2 linked regions of the Oryctolagus cuniculus genome follow. The protein of the gene in region 2 interacts with the protein of the main gene of each other region in a pairwise test. Links are inferred from orthologs where the notes say so. Each region holds a gene or a part of one and is shown on either strand. Other genes may lie near its edges. The genes, in order: VAPB and USP20.

Region 1 (3,803 bases), on a different chromosome or scaffold from region 2:
TTTTAGACAAAATGTACTGCAGGAAATTTTGGAAATACACAAATGAACACAAACTGAAAGTGATTTGTGATTCCTTCACACTGGGTCAGAGCAAGCACTGCCTTGTGCTTTTCCTTATTTTTAAATGTTTTTATTTTGATGCACAGAAAGGTGAAAACACAGTGCACTGACCACTCCTTACAGCCGCTGCCTCGACTGACCCTTTGTTAGTATCCTGCCACCTTTGCTTCCTCTCTGTCATAGGCTTTCTTTTCTTTTTAGAAAAGATTGATTATTTGAGAGGCAGAGTGACAGGGACATACACACACGCGTGCACACGCACACACACGTGTGTGCACAGACATCTTCCTTCCCCCAGTTCCCTGTCCAAATGCCCACGACAGCCAAGGCTGGGCCAGGCTGGAGCCAGGAGCCTGGGCCTCTGTCCTGGCTCCCACAAGGAGGGGCCCAGGCACTTGGGCTGCCACTCGCTGCCTTCCCAGGAGCATTCGCAGGGAGCTGGGTCAGCAGGAGAGAAGCTAGAACGCCACCACCATTCTGAGTGGGACGTGGGCGTCCTGAGTGGCCTGCCCCTCTGCGCCTGAAGTTTCTGTCCTGTCGAGCCACTTGGGTGTAGAATGCAGACATCAGGACGCCACCCCTCCGTGCGGCCGTGCAAGAGCAGCTAGCTGCTTCCGTGGCCCAGCGGGGCTGTCCTCGCTGCGAGGAGGCGCCTCACTGAGCGTGATTACCTGGTAAACGGGGCCACAGTCAGCAGCATCGAGTTACGGCCAGAAACGGCCCTGGGCCCTTTCGGTTCCAGTGGAGGACCCCAGCCCACTTTGTTTCCCCTGCTCTCAGGCCGTCGGCATGCGGCCGCGTGGCTCGTCAGACGCCCGTGTCCCCGTGTCCCGTGCTCCTCCGCGACGTCCTCGTGACCAGTCGAGGCTGCATTGTTCTGGGCAGGAGTATCTGTGGGTGGTGGCACGTGGCCCTCACCCGAGGAGGCGTGTCGTGGCACTGGTGCTCCCTGCCGCGGTGCCTCTGGCACTGCCAGCCCCTGGTGTCAGTATTTGCCCCCGTGACTAATTGGTGATCCGTGATCCTCTGAGTCATCAGACACAGACCATGCGGCTGGCCAGCAGTCTGTCACCGGTGAGTCAGCGTCCGGCAGTGACCCCACGTGTGCTTAGGGTGCACACGCACTGTGCTGCGCGGTTTCTCCGCGCAGTGTTCCGGGACGCCCCCTGGAAGCTAGGGCTCTCCGGTGTCGGTGCCGTCGCCTGCCTGGCAGCCCTGCGGCATCACATTGGCAGCCGGTTCCCTGGTCGTGGTTCTCGGCACTGGTGTTGCCTGGGTGCCTCCTGGTGGTTGGGGGTGGGCGTGAGGGTCTGTCTCCTCTCTGTGTCATGGCCTTGCAGTTGTGCTGGCCTGTAACTCAGAACAGCGGTAAGCTGGGGCGTGACCCCCCCTCAGGCTGGTGGGAGTGGCGGGGGCCCTGCCGAAGCCGCTCCCCGACGTCTGTGCCAGCTGTCCCTGAAGGGCGTCCCCCGTGAGGAGACACTCACGTGCCCTGGTCGCCTGGACCCTGTGCTGGAGATCGGCCAGGGCTTAGCGGGCGGCAGTGTCCTGCAGCTGTGCCCCGAAGACCAGCCCGGGCTGCGCGGGCTGCAGTCAGGGGCGAGGCCTCGGGGGTGGAGTCCGTGTGCGGGGAAGCTGGCGCGTCTCATCTTCTCATCCTGTCGTGTTAAAAATGCTGAAGTGTCAGCAGACTCAGTTCTGTATTTGATACCATCAGGGCTGTCTCATTCAGTGTTTTTCTGAAATTGTCAGTTAGAGGAAGAAATTATTCTTCCAGCAGCTTTATAATGTCCTGATTATGAAATTTAAATTGTTTTAGTGGAAGGAGGCAAAACCGGAGGACCTTATGGATTCAAAACTTAGATGTGTGTTTGAATTGCCGGCAGACAATGATAAACCAGTAAGTATACCGATAGTTAATGGAAATTGAATGTTGCAAGCTGATGCTTATTTGCATACCATCTCCTGCAAAACCTCGATTTAAGTTGGCAAATTGTTTTCTTCCTCTAATGTATGAAGAAGAAAAAAATAAGCTGAGGTCAACAAACAAGTGGGCCTTTCGGAGAGCGGCCCCCGGCCGCGTGAAAGGGCAGCTGGTGGAGACAGTTTTCCCCTCGGGACTGCAGCCTGTTGGCTGGCTGCGGCAATGTCATAAATCCCTGAGTGCCCGTGTGGCTTGGCAGAGTTAGAGGTGGCGGTAAAACCGCAGACGAGACCCAGCCACGGGCCGCTTTCCCCGTTACCGTGGTCCTTGGCGGATGCTGTGCAGTGCCCAGGACCCCTGCCCAGTGCCGCCTCTCCAGCCCCTCGGCCCCGCTTGCCCTTTTCAGCCCCATCTGCTTCCACGTTAGGGTTCCTGGCCTCTCGCCGGTGACCGTGGGGATGCTGCACTTCCGGGCCGGGCTGGGGTGCCGTCCTGAGCGCTGAGGGATGTTCAGCAGCCTCCCTGGCCTCCACTCATTAAAGCCCGGCAGTGCCCGGCAGTGCCCGGCAGTGCCCCGTCGTGACAGCCAGGAGTGTCTCCAGACGTGCCCCAGGACGGTGATTTGCCCCTGGACCCGCAGAGCACTCGCGCGTGCCCCCACTCCAGCCCTGTCCTCGGTGAGCTCAGGAGGGGCCACAGCCCTTCCCAGCAGGGCGTTGCTGGGGCTCAGCCTCTGCAGATGCCAGCCTTGTTCCACCCTCTCCCTGGGCTCCACCCCTGCCCGCTGGGCCTGGGGGTGTGCAGCTCCTGTGGCTCAGGCTTCGGAGCTTGCACAGTCACCCTGTGCTAATTTTTGCACGACAGGATTTGATGGTGCAAAATCCACAGCCCTTCTCTCTCTCTTTGCGGTATTGGTCTCAGCCAAACTCCATGGTGTGTCCTTGTCCATGATTGCTAGGGCCCTGTTGCTTTCGACTGTGAAGTTACTAGACACAGTGATCCGTTTTAGAACCAAGCGTGACAGTTCACGGTGTGGATGAAACGCTGCTGCGGGTGGTGTTTCCTGAGAAGTGTAAAAACGTCCTCTATTACCTGGTTGGTGACACATGGGCTTTTGTTTATTTCTGAACAGCATGATGTAGAAATGAATAAAATCATATCCTCCGCTGCTGCGTCAAAGACAGAGACGCCAGCAGCGTCTAAATCCCTGACCTCTTCTGTGGACGACGCCGAGGTGAAGAAGGTTATGGAGGAGTGTAAGAGGCTGCGAGGCGAAGTCCAGAGGCTGCAGGAGGAGAACAGGCAGTTCAAGGTACCGCTTCCCCCGACGGTCTGCGAGGGGAGGGCACAGGGCCTGGCTGCCAGATGAGGCTCCCTGGTTTTGCCTTTTGTCCATTTTAACTCGGGGGGCGGGGGGCAGGTTTCCTGGCTTCCTCAGGATCTCAGAAGGATCTGGAACTCCCCCTCGCGTGAAGAACCACTGTCCCCTCAGCAGAAGGTTCTCGACTGTTTAAAAGCTGCTTTAGGAAAAACTGAAAGTAAAATTGGAGGCTAAAAGTAAGACGCCATTGGTCATTTCGAATGCTTCCCGGGCCCCGCTGCCCCTCAGTCGCTGGGGTGGAGACCACTCTGACTGTCCTCTGCTGCTTTCCAAGCTGAAGACGGCGAGGGGAGCGAGCTGCAGGCTGCTGGCTCATTCCCCGCGTGCCCGAGACAGCTGGGGCAGAGCTGGGAGCTGGAACTCAACCCAGGTCTCCCACGGGCATGGCAGGAACTCCAGTCACCTGGGCCAGCACCTGCTGCCTCCCAGGGAGCTGGA
Region 2 (3,137 bases):
TGCTCTGCTAAAGCCAGAGATCTGAAATTGTGACATCCACGGGCAGGCCGGGTCTCGCAGGAGGAGGCTGGTGACCGACAGCCCTCCCCACGGCAGCGCGGGTGCCCTGGGTGGGGAATTCGCGTGTCAAGGCCGCCCCCGGGCAGGGGCTGGCCCCAGCCCAGCAGCTCCCTCGGGTTCCCGGCGTCACCTGGCCCAGACCTCTACTGCCCTCTCTCAGGCCCCCAGCGGTGCCATTTCCGGTGCGCCCAGCCCCCTCCCGACCGCGAAGAAGGGAAGAGCCCGCGAGGCCTCGGCGCCAGGCAGCACCGCGCTCCAGGGTCGATTGCGTCGATCGCTCGCGCTGGGTTAGAACAGACGCAGGAAGCTGCGCTGGGGCGGCCGCATCCTGCACAGGCATCTTGTGAATTTTTTTGGAGAAGCCAGAGAAAGAGGAGTGTGCCAGTCTACTCATTCACCCCCCCTGCCCGGGCCGGGCCGGGCCGAAGCCCAGCACCAGAAACTGAATCCAGTCTCCCCTGGGGGAGCAGGAGCCCCCTGGCTGCCCCCAGAGGCTGGGGTCTGGAGCTGGAGCCAGGGCTCGAACCCCGGGCCTCTGATGTGGGCCCTGGACGCAGGACCACAGGCGGCACCCTGCCCTCCAGAGGCGCTGCTGGAGCCCCCCCCCCCATCTCAGACAACCATGCTGGGGCCCCTCCCTCGCCCAGCCTCGGCCTGTGCGGGCCTCCCCCGTGACGGACGCTGCGGCAGTGAGCGCAGACGGCGGTGCGGGCCGTGGGAACGCATCTGTGTTTATTGTACAGCCTGGGCGCAGACTGGCCGCGGGGCGACCCCAGGCTCCCAGCGCTCCAACACGGGAAACGCTGGCGGGGCCCTTCGAGCAACGCCACCTGCTGGCCGGGGAAGGAACAGGCCCTGGGAAGGACGCCCCCCCCACCCCCGCCCCACTGGGGGCTCAGGGCTTCTCCAACTGCCTGGGGGCGCTTCCACGGAGAAGGCCACGGCGGGCTGGGGGGCTTGGTCTCAGGACCCCTCCTCCTGACCCGTCCTCGCCGGCTCCCCCAGGACAGGCCACAGCGGGCTGAGGGGCTTGGTCTCAGGACCCATCCTCGCCGGCTCCCCCAGGACACGGCTCCCCCAGGACACGGCTCCCCCAGGACACGGCTCCCGGCAGGCTTGGCCGAGCGCGCGAGGGCAGCAGGTGACGACACGTTGAGGTATTTCTGCTTGTCATTGGTGCCCTGGGGGCGGGGCCGGGCCGGCTCTCCCAGGAGCGGGGCAAGTCGCAGGGCAGGCTCAGCAGGACCGGGGAGGGCGTCCCCACCGTGGGAGGTCCAACCCACGCCCCCTTCACGTCCAAGCTCTGTCTGCAGGACAGAGACCCTGGGAGCAGCCGGCCTCTGGGGTCTTCCTGGAGACACCGAGATGCAGGGGTGAGCGAGGCCGCAGGGGCAGGCACAGGGAGCCCTGCCCACCTGCGGCTTCCGGCGCCTCGGCTCCCCGCGTCGCCCCGTGCACAGCGGAAGACGTCTGCAGGCTCCATCCCGGCCCCAGGCTCTGACTCGGGGGCGGCGTCAGGTGCCAGGGACAAAGGCTGGGCCCGATCTAGCGAGAGGCAGGTCGGGGGACACAAGGCTGCCTGGGACTGGTGTCAAATGAAGGTCACAGAGTCCTGGTCGCTTAAACAAGCCTGCAGGGAGTCTATTTCCTGGCCTCGCACGGTGAAGCAGAGCCCTGGCCGCGGCGCCCTCCCGGCACGCGGGCAGACGCGGCCTGCGGGAACACCGGGCGCTCAGCCGGGGCCGCACGCGGATCCTGCCGAGCAGCCTGGTGGGAGGCGAGCTCGGGGACACGAGAGGGTGTCGGGAGAGGGAGGGGCCCGGCAGGGTGACCTAGGGGCGGCCCGCCGCGTCACACAGCGCGCGTCTCGGCCTCGATCTTCTGCTCCCCGTGTAGGCCGTCCGGGTCCTGGGGCTGCGCCGCGCTCTGCCGGATGGCGACCTCGGGGCCACCTCCGTACAGGCTGTTGAGGTAGGTCCAGGTCTCCTCCGAGATCTGCCCATAGTCAGCCCCTGCAGGGCGGGAGAGGCAGGCCTGGGCGGGGGCCGGGGGCTCAGGAGGGCGGGAGGCCCAGCACGGGCTCAAGTGCAGCACGGTCACATGGAGGCCACAGGCCCGGCCAGAGAAGCCCAAGCACCGTCTGCAGCTGCGGCCCCTTGCTGCCCGCGGGCGGGGCTGGCACACAGGCCAGGCCGGGCCGGCAGAGGGCGCAGGAGGTAGGTGGGGGAGAGAGCTGAGGCCCAGAGGACCTGCTTGGGACCCTGCTCCCAGACGGGGTGGGGGGGCGTGGAGGGGTAGGAGAACAAGGCCAGGCACCGGGGGGCCGTGGGCGGAGTGGGGTGGGTTAGGACGGGTCTGGGCAGCGGAGCTGTGGGGTAGGGGGATGGGGCAGGGCAGCAGGGGGCTGGGGGCAGGGTGGGGTGGGGTAGGAGGGGCAGGGCAGTGGGGGGCCATGGGTAGGGTGGGGTAGGAGGGGCAGGGCAGCGGGGGGCATGGGTGGGGTGGGGTGGGGTAGAACACAGCGCCGGCCGTGGGCGTACCCTGCTTCAGCTGCACGTGGCCGCCTCCTTTGGTCTGCGCGATCCTGCTGTTGTCGATGGGCCCGGGGGGCTCTGGAAGAGACGGCTCAGGCTCAGCGCCTCCAGGCCCCGCCCCCCGCCCCCCCCACCAGGCGGCGGAGCCCCTCCAGGGAGCCCCTCCAGGGAGCCCCTCCAGGGAGGCTCCGCACCGCACTCAGCGGGGGCGCCCTCAGAGCCAGCTAGAACCACGGCAGGTTTGGGACTCCAGCATGGGGGGCGGAGCCGGCCGGGCAGGCAGTGCCCTCCCCGGGCAGGCAGCGGCCCCAGCCCAGGCCCCTCCCCAAGCGCCTCGGTCTCATTTAACCCCAGCAGCCACGGGAGACGAGGGCTGTGTGCAGAGACAGACTGTGGGCTCGGCAAGTGTCCGGCTCGGGTCGCGGCTGGAGAAGGCCAAGGCCAGCACCTACACCTGGGCCGGGCTCGGGACTCTGGCCGTCGGCTCCCAACCACGGCACACCCGCCCACCCGGCGGAGCCGGCAAAGCTGCCCACTCCGACC

Evidence for each region.
Region 1: the proteins of USP20 (region 2) and VAPB interact in binary tests that used the Homo sapiens proteins (3 or more experiments, as listed by UniProt). The two-hybrid records come from large-scale screens. The link is inferred for Oryctolagus cuniculus from reciprocal best matches to the Homo sapiens genes USP20 and VAPB.

Annotation. Positions count from the first base shown.
Region 1 is NC_091442.1:3,750,820-3,754,622, reverse strand, and holds part of VAPB (vesicle-associated membrane protein-associated protein B/C), read left to right. Parts: intron 1-1,879; coding exon 1,880-1,960; intron 1,961-3,116; coding exon 3,117-3,296; intron 3,297-3,803. UniProt on the Homo sapiens protein: Endoplasmic reticulum (ER)-anchored protein that mediates the formation of contact sites between the ER and endosomes via interaction with FFAT motif-containing proteins such as STARD3 or WDR44.
Region 2 is NC_091432.1:232,706,947-232,710,083, reverse strand, and holds the end of USP20 (ubiquitin carboxyl-terminal hydrolase 20), read right to left. Parts: intron 2,673-3,137; coding exon 2,601-2,672; intron 2,073-2,600; coding exon 1,912-2,072; 3' UTR 773-1,911; downstream 1-772.